Linked DNA regions of Danio rerio. The protein of the gene in region 3 purifies or fractionates together with the protein of the main gene of each other region. This does not show direct contact. Links are inferred from orthologs where the notes say so. Each region holds a gene or a part of one and is shown on either strand. Other genes may lie near its edges.

Region 1 (3,616 bases), on a different chromosome or scaffold from region 3:
TTTTAACATTTTTATTTTGGCCAATTGTCACATTTTGAGTAATTAGAAATTACCTAAATGACAAGACTTTACCTTAAAATTTCTAAGAAATGTCATCAGACCTTTATAGTATAAACAAATCTCAGATCTCAAAACACAGAATCTGCAGACATCTTTTGCTATTTCTGCACAGAATGTTGTACAAAATGTGCAGATTTATGCTGAATGATTTCTAAGTGAGGGTATAGTAACCAAAAGCTTAACACATGTTAAGATAATAACTTTTGAAAATAATAACTTTTGGTAAACAAAGTGTCTCATATCTGCTAAAAGACAGAAATATTAATTTACAAACTATTTTCTACATAAACCACACACACGCATTTACATGTTATTCAGTATTATTACTGAAGTTATTATAAAAACTAAGTTAATATAAAATTTACATCCATCTACATGCGTAAATGATGAGTTGAATGGTGAGCTCAAAAATCTGCGGGTTTCAGTAAATCTTATCTAATAAATCTGACAAATCCAGAGAAGCTAAAAGTATCCAAGTGGTCATTTATTTCTGTAGCTCTGGGTTTGTAATTTATATGTGAGTAATATGTAGCTCTGGTTTCTGACAGGTGAAGAACCTGATGGCCTCTACACTAAAGCTTCACGGGAGAATCGACTTTTTGGTGAATAATGGAGGTGGCCAGTTTTCCAGTCCGGCAAACATGATGAGTGCAAAAGGCTGGAAGGCTGTGATCGACACCAACCTCAATGGAACGTTCTTATGCTGCAGAGAAGGTTCGGCATAAAGGTGAAACACAACACTAGGGGTGTGTGAAATCTATCCTTTGACATTAGCTTGACACTGAAAAAATCCTTTTGTCAGACTGTTTAGAAAGATTTAAAGGTCCTGTGAAATTAAAATAAAAAAATTTGGATGTTTGTTTCAGTCTGTTACTTTTTAAAGATATCTATTATCTAGTGTGCTACAAAACAGTGACAATTCGCATTTAGAAAATATAAAATGGATTTAAACACTCACATCTTACAAACATCCCAGCCTCTCTACCTTTTTCAGTTGAGATTATGTCAAACATTGAAGGAAAACTGGACATTTCGACACTGTGCACTCTCTTACAGACAATATTTTTCCACTCTTTTACAATATGACTGTTTTATTCATTCATTCATTGATTGTCTTTTCGGCTTAGTCCCTTTATTAATCTGGGGTCACCACAACGGAATGAACCGCCAACTTATCCAACAAGTTTTCACGCAGCGGATGCCCTTCCAGCCACAACCCATCTCTGGGAAACATCCACACACACATTCACACACAATCATACACTACGGACAATTTGGCCTACCCAGTTCACCTGTACCGCATGCCTTTGGACTGTGGGGGAAACCGGAGCTCCCAGAGGAAACCCACGCGAAGGCAGGGAGAACATGCAAACTCCACACAGAAACGGCAACTGAGCCGAGGTTCGAACCAGCGACCCAGCAACCTTCTTGCTGTGAGGCGACAGCACTACCTACTGCGCCACTGCCTCGCCCATGACTGCTTTAATATATCAATAATACTTGATATATTGATTAATGCAAAAAATTACAATACATTTAAATGACTATTTAGAATTGAAATTAATTTATTGATAACATATACAACGTGTTCCTTAATGGCTGTAGATAAATAAATATAAGAAAATAACGGGCAAGTTGGTACGACAACTGGTTAAAACCATTCCCGAGCACTGCATTTCGCATCTTATAGGTTCATTTATGCATTCAGCATGAATGCCCCCTAAATCTGCCCATGCAGTCAACATTTTGCAGTGAAATCAGGTCGCACGCCAGCAATTTTATGCACTCGCACAAATGCTCCCAAATATATTTTGAGGTTGCATAGATTGAATTTCGGGCTCATATGTGACCAAAGCAGCCGCAGTTTCGAGCCCAGCTTGACTAATACAATACAGTTAGATTGATCATATAGTACTTGCTAGGTAAGCAATAAATGTGATAAAAGTTCATTTAAACTTTTTCTCATATCATGATAAGTCACATCATATCCTGATAAATATATTTATATCAGGATATAGTACCTTTTCTGTAAATTCAATCAATTAAAAGTTTATATTTATTTACCACATGGAAAGCTATTTTCCTTTTACATTAAAATATATACTAAAAATGTTTATTATTTTTGTACTTTATTTAGAACTTCTTGACAAAAATATTAACAAAATGTTAATATTGATTTTTAAAACAAATTTTTAAAAGCAAACAAATATTGTTAAAATAAAATTTTAAATTTAAACTTTGTAATTTTAAGCTTGTGAATTTCATGTGAGGTCATTCACATAATAAAAAAGTATTACCGTAAACAATGTATTTTGCAACAGCAAAAAAAAACGAGTATAATTTGAAACCATAGACTTTTACTTCCTGTCCCCACAATATATATATATATATATATATATATATATATATATATATATATATATATATATATATATATATATATATATATATATATATATATATATATATATATCATCATATTCCAGAGCTCTAATTTGCTCAACTTCTATTATCCCAAAATCTGGGTAATCTCACACCCCTATGCTTGACATTTAGTTTAGCTCTCTGTTGTGTTATTATAATATGCGTTCTTATTTCTAACCCTCAAAAATAATGTTGACAACTCTTGTGTATAAATTCAAAGGCTATTTTTTTTCTGTTAACTGATAGCATATAATGCCTGGATGAAGGACCATGGAGGTGTAATCGTGAATATCATTGCTGACATGTGGAAAGGCTTTCCTGGAATGGCGTGAGTTGGCCTTTGCAAAAATAAAAGAAACGTATTGTGTTTTACATTTTATATATGGCTGGTTAAACATCTATTATATCACAATCAAACATTTCACTTTTATTCAAAGCTCAATTTAAACAGGTTTTTTTTATTAATGCCAGGCACACAGGAGCAGCTCGAGCAGCGGTGGACAACCTGACCAAGAGTTTGGCCATAGAGTGGGCTCACAGTGGGGTCCGCATAAACTCTGTGGCGCCGGTATGTGTTAGATTGGAAACCATTAAGCTATATTATATACATTAGGATAGACCTGTTTGATTAGAGACGTTGAAAAAGGCACGTCATAATTTTGCCAAGTCTGATCCATTCCTGGATTAACATCTGTGTTGACCCTAGAACATATTTTTTTGCTTGAAAATATAATCTATACCTATTCCTCACCCCTAAAACCCAACCATAATAACTCCCAAAATCAGAGGGGAATTATAGTTTGAAAACAATTACATAGAAGTGCATAAACCTAACTGTAAGCCTAAACCTAAAATAAAATGTAAATGTATCCCTTAATTCTGATTGGCTGATTGGAATGTTGTTCCAGAATCAACATAGATGTTAATCCAGGAACATGTCCTACTTGGTGAAATCAGCCTAAAAAAGGCTGCTGAATTCTGTTTGGATTCTGCATTTGTATATTGATTTGAATAAATCCACAAAATGAACATTTAAATATAATCAAATTACATGTGGACAACCCTACCTTGCCTGAAAATGTGTCCAGTATTGTATGCTCCTATTTTTGTTTTGTTTTTTATTAAATTTCAG
Region 2 (4,371 bases), on a different chromosome or scaffold from region 3:
TGCTCTTTGCAATTCTAATTTATTTAAAGCATTGTGCAAAAGAATAAATACACATTATTTACAACAAATATAAACTTCCTTTGGGTAGCGCTATGCACAATTCTAAACAATATTGCAGTGCATATTGGAACTGAACCTACAACATACACAGGTCTGTAAATCATTTATGAAATTGTTCAATTTAAAAGACATTTCCAGGAAAAAAAAAAAAGATTACTTTGAAATGAGGACTATTAGTTTTATATGGACTGACTTATTCAGCCTTCACAAGTTTAGTTAATTTTGACTGACATGACATAAGTGAATGATAATGTTATAAACAGCAGAGAGTTGTATGAAAGCAATTATTGCATGTCCAGAAGCATTTGCAATCTGTTGGAAGGAATGAGAAACTGCTACTATAATGTGCACAAATGATGAATTGTTTTGAGAAATGCATTAACTGTTGTGCAAATGTAAATAGTGTTGTGAGAAATGCACCAAAGCCACTCAGAAAAACGGTAAATGCAGTGATGTCTAATTTTACTTTAGTTTTCAAATGGCTGTGCAAATAATATATATTGCTGTCTTGAGCATTTTCAGGAAGTGTCACCAAAATCTGACTCTTTTGCATTAGAAAAAATGTACAGAGTAAACTGTCATAATGAAAACAAAGCCATTTAACTACCTAATTGTATTGAGAAATGCATTAACTGTTGTGCAAATGTAAATAGTGTTGTGGCAAATGCACCAAAGCGACTGAAAAATCTGTTAATGTTGTGGCGGTGAGACTATGCAACAGAGGCCAAAATAATACATTTTGATCAACATGACATAAGCAATTGAAAATGTAGGAAACATCAGAGAACTGCATATAACCATTAGCAAAAATGTACAAAAGCATTTGCAACTTGTTCAAAGGAATGAGAAATTGCTTTTTTGATGTGCACAAGTGACACAATGATGTGAAGATTGAACAGGTAGTTTTGAAAAATTCGATTCTGATCTGAGAAATGAACTAAAACAACTGAGAAAAACTGTAATGGTGCAATGCACAGATATTGATGTTTCAGTTTTTTTACACTACATTATTTGAACCGACCAAGCATAGATTACAATGTTTGCTGTTTACATTGCTCTACTTGGATTAAATCTAAATTGTAAATACCAGAAATGACAACATTTGTTTACATTTAATTAATGTCAGTTTTAATGTTCCCTGGTTTGTCACAGTGTAATGAACCACCACTTATTTACCATCCACATTCCAAGAAACCCAACCACAAACACCTGATCTATATTCTGCTCTATTGCATGTATAGTGTTACTCGGACTTGGAATAATTTTATTGGTAACAACATTTATGAGAATAATAGATAGAATACTCCCACTTATCAGTCGAACCTTACTCAACACCGAATGCATGCTGTGTCAATTCAACCCTACATTCTCGGAATTTGTCATCTTAAACGAACCTACTGTTACAACAGTGGTTAAGCGCACCAATGCCACGCCCACTGAGTAATAAGCGCTTCTATTGGTCAACACACAATTGACGTCAAATGTTACCACCCTTCCAGGAAGTAACAAACCCAACTAAGCCAGAGTTGAAACGTTATATAACAAAAAAAGAAAAAAGGACACAAAGCAGAAGGCACGTAGCTCGAAAGAAAGTTTAACTGAATAGTCATGAATCCTGATATTAGCCGTGAACGTGAAAATGCGTCTTTTAACCTGGAGATTCTTACAAACGTGCTGGATGGTGGAGCGGAAAAGACAAATAGAAGGAGAGAAATAGGTCAGCTGCAAAAGTGTTTTAACGTTGCTATTTAATAACTTAAATAACCTATTTGATTGTAAACGTATTTTCCGGTCATTTGTGTGCATAGGTTAACCTATTGACATGATTAAGTTCAGGTATATGTATGTTAATTTAATGTATTTCTTTAGTAATATAATGTACCCTTGCAAATTTACAGTTTGTGGAGCTCTTAAAAATTAAACTGATAATATAAATATTTACCTTGAAGTCAGAGCGCCTTTTATATATATTGAATTAGTTGGCCCATTTCTGTACAAGATCAAGATATCAAGCTAAAAAGTAAAAAAAAAAAAAAAAAAAAAAAACACCCATCATCTGTTTTTTTGTTTTGTTTGTTTTTTTCTAGAGTCTCTGGTTATTGGAGATCCAGATTTCCAACATGAAGACCTAAACTTTCTCTCTCGAAGTGAGCGATATGATGCAGCAGTGCGGAAGAGTGCACAGATGATTCTGAAACTTAGGGAATATGGTATCTCTGATCCAGAAGAGATCTACTCCTACAAGACGTAAGCAAAATTGTCATGGTTAAAGAAACTTATAGTTATAGAAGTTATAGAATATGGATAGTTGAGAGAAGTTTAGAGGACAGAAAACACTGAGATAAGAATTAACTGAAAAAAATAAACATACACTACAGTTCTTTTTTTGAGGTCTTTGTATTATATTTAAAAAAAAAGTCAAATATAAAATAAATATAATACAAATATATGTTTTTTTTTTAATAGCAAATATCTTGGTGTTTGTGTTACCTTTGTCCCAACATCTCTACAATTAAATTACACCTCATGTATTGGTTAATGCAATGAATCACCAAAACAACACAATTTTTATGAAATTTTCAAAATCAGTGTTGTAAAATATGTTTGTGAGTTGCATATGAATGTTAGCTACAATTTGCAAGCAAAAGTTACAGTGTTTGCAGAGACAGCCAGGGCAAAGGTCTCAGATTAAAAGTGTGTCAAAGGGAAGTAAAATGTTTATCATCTCCACTCCTATTCTCAGATTAAATTAGCTGAAACAAATAAAACTGATACATTTTTGGTGATTCAGACATTCCTAAAAACTAAACTTTAAATACACATTTAGCATAATGAAAAGTATTAGGAGTACAGCTAATTGGGATTAAACATCTGGTTTCTATTAACATAAAAAGACTTTTTATAAAACCCTCTAAAGTACAATGTGTATCTTCATGTATGTTTACTACATTTGTCTGTTCCATTCTGCAGTGTTGTGAGGGGTGTATTTCAAGAGCCCCTAGGTGTCCATAATGTCATGTTCATACCCACCTTAAAAAGCCAGTGTACTGCTGAACAACGCAAAAAATGGATCCCCTTAGCTGAGTCATTCCATATGTTAGGCACCTATGCTCAGACAGAGCTGGGGCACGGTCAGTTCTTCTCTCCTGAACAATTATTTGAAATGTACTTTTAAATATTAGTAATAAGCAAAAAAGTATTGTCCTTTTTGGTTCAGAAATATACATTTGTATATTAAGGTGTCACTCTTGTAGGTGTTGACAGCTCAGTATGGTCATAGTCTCAGATTGATTTAGGGGTCTCTGCATTCAAGGTGATTCTCCATTTAATTCTGTATACATTAGAACACTTTTTAAAACCTGACCTTATCTGCATTCAAACATTAAATAGCTTTAGGTCTTTAACTGCTTCTTGATTATCTTAATAACTTGTGGTTTTGCAGTTTTGTGTTTGTCTTTTCATGAAGTCTTTAATTTTCCAGTTATCATTGATTGTGTTTTGTATTGTAAATGGAATCTACACATTTTCAAAACCCTAATAAGTGGAAATGTAGGACAGTGGGTTTGAAGGAAAGAAGCCGAAGCAGTAGGCACTGAGAGAATAATGGCATCATTGTGCAATCTTGTCATTAATGCAAGGGAGTAAATGTGTCAGTTATGGCTAACGGGTAATTTATCTGTCTTTCTCTCACAACATTTGATCAAGTGAACATTTAGAATTTTCAAATGTTAAGAATGAAAAGACGTAAATGTCCAGCACTATCTTAGTAGGTCCTAAATTTTTGGCCTCGCACTCTAAAACAAAAATGCTTTTTGGAGAATGGATACCTCTTTTTAATGTATGCCTCTACTGAAACAATCATAGAAAATCATATTCATACAATGAGTAAACACATTAATAATGTTTCTGTTGAGTAAATTCTTTGAGATTGATTATACTGTAATTGGCACATGTTTTATGCAGCTAATAAATTATTTCTATCTCTAATTTAGTCATTATATGCATGAACTTTTGTCATTCTCTGTTCCTCAAATTTAATCCCATCCATTCATTCATTCAATTTCTTTTCGGCTTAGTTCCTTTATTAATCTGGGGTCGCCACAGTGGAATGAACCGCCTAATCCCATCCATATAAATTTTATTAATACATACTCACAATCTTGATCAACTCATTCTGTCTATTCGTATTTAACACTCACTAATTTGTTCTTTCGGTATCTTTTTTCTGCTTTTCTTTTCCCCTCTCTATTTTTAATTACTTTTTTTTTTTTTTTTTTTTAAATATTCCGCTCACTTTGATTCCCGCCCTAT
Region 3 (3,658 bases):
TATTAAGTAATTCATTAGGTGGTGCATTACAACTGTTTTTTATAATAAAAACACACAAATAAAACATACAACAGAAATGTTATTATGAAAAAAATACCTTTTATCATTTGGAGATATATAAAGTATCTCCAAATTATAAAAAAAACAGTAATGAAGACATAATAAATATTATTAATCACAAGTTTGCAAAGATCAACCCAAATATCAATCAAAATCTTGCAACAATAAATACAAAGAAGTAAATAAAAATAAATAGAAATATAAACGAACAAACAAACAAACGGGCGAACAAACGAACGGTCACCACTACTCTCACATGGTCAGTTCCTAGATGGGAGACCATATGAGAAGGCTGTTGCCAAAAGTGGTGTTAGTGAGACCAGCAGGGGGGGCTCTACATGCAGTTTGTGTGGGTCCTAACGCCCCAGTATATTGATGGGGACTCTGTGGTCGTTAAAAATCCCAGGATGTCCTTCGAATAAGAGTAGGGGTTTAACGCCCGCATCCTGGCTAAATTTGCCCACTGGCCTCAGTCCATCATTGCCTCCTAACCATCCCCATACCATAATTAGCTTCATCACTCTCCTCTCCACCAAGCTGGTGTGTGGTGTGCAATATGGCTGCAGTCACGTCATCCAGGTGGATGCTGCACACTGTTGGTGGATGAGAAGAATCTCCCCAAAAATGCAGTACAGGTGAATTGAGTAGGCTAAAATTGTCTGTAGTGTATGAGTGTGAATGAGTGTGTATGGATGTTTCCCAGAGATGGGTTGCAGCTGGGAAGGGCATCCGCTGCATAAAACATATGCTGGATAAGTTTGCAGTTCATTCCCCTGTGGCGACCCCAGATTAATAAAGGGACTAAGCTGAAAAGAAAATGAATGAATAAATGGTTCGCCATGCATTTTCAATGTCTCTAAAAACAAAAATATTTCAAAAGTTTTGTGATTTTGGAAACATAACAGAGGAGACAGACTGCAATCTATGAACTGACACTAGCCAACCAAAGCAGATGCACTCGGACGCAGATATATTTCCTACCTCCGGAGGGCGCTGATCGCAGCAAACTCCTGCTCGTTCTCCGCCTGGCAGGTGCCCAGATATTGCCAGGCCTGCAGTATCGTCAGACACGCACAGTCAGCGTTTCAGAAAGACATAGAAGGAAACAGAGCACTGTCAGAATCCCCAGAGATAAAATGTGCCATGAGTTTTGGATGTCAGGATTATAAGTATGAGTCTCTGACCAGCTGGTTGTCTGGCTGTCTCTGAACGGCGCTCTCGAAAAGGCGCACAGCTCCAGGAATGTCTCCCGCCTCCATCCGCTTCACCCCTTCTGCAAACGGATCCTCATGGGACAGGTAGGGGTTGTCTTCCTCAAACTGATATCCCTAAAAAAAGTAAGAAAGCAGGCATTTGGAAGCAATATTTAAAAGCAAATATTCATAAACTAGTCTTCAATTTCATTTATTCCTTTAAATTTTTTCTCTTTAATTTTTGGCCATTCTCTAAAAGTTTTAATTCCACAATAAATTAGGATTTAATCTATCAAATATGATGGATTTCAGTCATAAAAATGGAATCAGCTGTATAGATATACAAATTTTTAGATGTAATGTACACCTAATGAAATAATGATGTGATCTAGTGTCTATGTATGTTAAATGGCAAAAAGACTTCTTAAATGTTATTTTTAAATTGTTATAATATTGCACATTATCACGTTTTTTATTAAAATAAATTAATAATAATTCAAATTGTAATAATTGTAAATTAATATACATTTTTATAAATAATATTTAAAATATTTTAATTAATAAATGCAGTAATAATACACACATCTGGAATATGAACAATATAGTAAAACAATAAAGTTAAATAGCCTCTCTGTGCAAAAAAAAAAAAAAAAAGGGAAGAATTTTATGCATAAAATGTAATAGTTTTATTTTTGTATATTCTTGCTCTGCAAATGAAAATTTGTTCAAAATCGAAGCAGAAACAAAGACCAAAACTAACATGCATGCACCATAACAAAGCACAGACTACTGGCTGGAAAAGAGCTCAAATTTTCCAGTTCTCTGTGCTGTAAACGGGCACAGATGTACACTGTCCAGATACCTTGTCGTAAGAGCTGCTGAGCATCTGGTCGAAGTCTGAGAGCCAGGGGTGAGCTTCAGCATCCCTCTTGGCCATTTCCTCCCACTCCTGTTGGAGCTTCTCCCAGAAATCAACATCGCTCTGTATAAAAACACACATACATACACACAGACCAATGAGTTAAAGCCAAAACAAAACAATCTTAATCTAATCTACAGACTTTAGGGTGACAGGTTTTAAGAAAATGAAAATTGCTAAAAAGTTTATATTTTGCAGCCGTGTTCATTTCGTCAATAAAAATTTGACAGGTTTGCTGTGCAGAAATGTGACTGAATGCACATGCTCTGATCTACTCAATTAATGACAGTGTGATGCTGAGGACCATAACAATAATTAGTGTTGGGTAAGTGTTTTGTTTTGTCCACATTTCAGTTTAGTTTCTTGTTCTAGGGATGTTCTGATAATTTTTTTCCCTTCCAGTTACCTGAGCAAACAAAATTAATTATTTATAGGCTAATGGATTTCTGTGCATACAAGGTTTCCCTATCGATTAAAGCGAAAGTGAAAGTAAGCCTAAATAATAAGGTGGCTCATCTCTCATTCTCGCGCTGTAGATGCTCTGTTGAACTTTTTTCTTGGTAGTGAAGCGCTCAGTTTTTCCACTTACAAAGTCTGTCATGTAAATAGCAATTTTGCGATGGCTCGACGCAACTGACTTTTAAAGGGAATGGGAGATGAGACTCTGATTGGTTTATTCTCAAAATACACCTATAACTCATTAAGAAAATAAGCTCAACCCTTTTAGACTATGCGCCATGGCGCAAAGCGGATTTTGTCGTCTTTATATTAGCAAAAGTGGATTCTGACACGCCCTTAATGTGTTTGTGCCCTGCACTTTGCGCATGGATCGTCAAAATAGAGCCCTTCAAGTGCAGAAAATGAACAATCATGTGTAAAATAACATGGCTATGATTGTATAAATAATAACCAAAAATAATGTTTAATGTCTATCTTTTACTCTTTAATAAATAACATAATCGTGCAATGTGACTACTGCAGAAACACATTGTGATATCAATACTTAATCAATATATTGTTCAGCCCTACTAAGATTTTACTGCAGATCTCACATTCATAACACTGAAACTGCTCATATACAACTAGTACTTAGTTTAGTTTAAATAAAACTGTAAGAAGTAACAATTCAGACTCCAGAAATGTGTAATTACTACACAAAAAAGCCCAAATACCCCAAAATAACACTTAAAGCGACAGTTCACTCAAAAATAAAAGTAATGCCATCAACCCTCCAATTGTTCTCTCTCTCTCTCTGGAAGATTTTCTGAAGAAGGTGTATAACAAACCAGCCATTGATTTCCACAGTCATTTTTGTTTCAAAATTTCCAATAACTGCTTGTTTCCCACATGTTTCAGAATATCTTGTTTTCCCTATAATGACAGCAATCAAATACAATTCCTCAAGTATTTACAGCCTAAACTGTGCTCACCTCGACCGCTGCTTTGGCCTGCTGGAAGTCTGGCCCGTAGGTGGCGAATTCATCGA

What was found.
Region 1: the proteins of pex5 (region 3) and pecr purify together in Homo sapiens (affinity purification with mass spectrometry; 3 studies listed by BioGRID, with this or other methods). This does not show direct contact. The link is inferred for Danio rerio from reciprocal best matches to the Homo sapiens genes PEX5 and PECR.
Region 2: the proteins of pex5 (region 3) and acox1 purify together in Homo sapiens (affinity purification with mass spectrometry; 3 studies listed by BioGRID, with this or other methods). This does not show direct contact. The link is inferred for Danio rerio from reciprocal best matches to the Homo sapiens genes PEX5 and ACOX1.

The regions. Positions count from the first base shown.
Region 1 is NC_133186.1:32,594,376-32,597,991, reverse strand, and holds part of pecr (peroxisomal trans-2-enoyl-CoA reductase), read left to right. Parts: intron 1-608; coding exon 609-774; coding exon of another isoform or gene 775-787; intron 788-2,730; coding exon 2,731-2,812; intron 2,813-2,955; coding exon 2,956-3,052; intron 3,053-3,616. UniProt on the Homo sapiens protein: Participates in chain elongation of fatty acids. Catalyzes the reduction of trans-2-enoyl-CoAs of varying chain lengths from 6:1 to 16:1, having maximum activity with 10:1 CoA. Has no 2,4-dienoyl-CoA reductase activity.
Region 2 is NC_133181.1:21,492,673-21,497,043, forward strand, and holds the start of acox1 (peroxisomal acyl-coenzyme A oxidase 1), read left to right. Parts: upstream 1-1,539; 5' UTR 1,540-1,668; coding exon 1,669-1,777; intron 1,778-2,147; coding exon 2,148-2,307; intron 2,308-3,030; coding exon of another isoform or gene 3,031-3,191; exon of another isoform or gene 3,192-4,371. UniProt on the Homo sapiens protein: Involved in the initial and rate-limiting step of peroxisomal beta-oxidation of straight-chain saturated and unsaturated very-long-chain fatty acids.
Region 3 is NC_133191.1:12,426,841-12,430,498, forward strand, and holds part of pex5 (peroxisomal biogenesis factor 5), read right to left. Parts: coding exon 3,603-3,658; intron 2,236-3,602; coding exon 2,116-2,235; intron 1,389-2,115; coding exon 1,245-1,388; intron 1,113-1,244; coding exon 1,042-1,112; intron 1-1,041.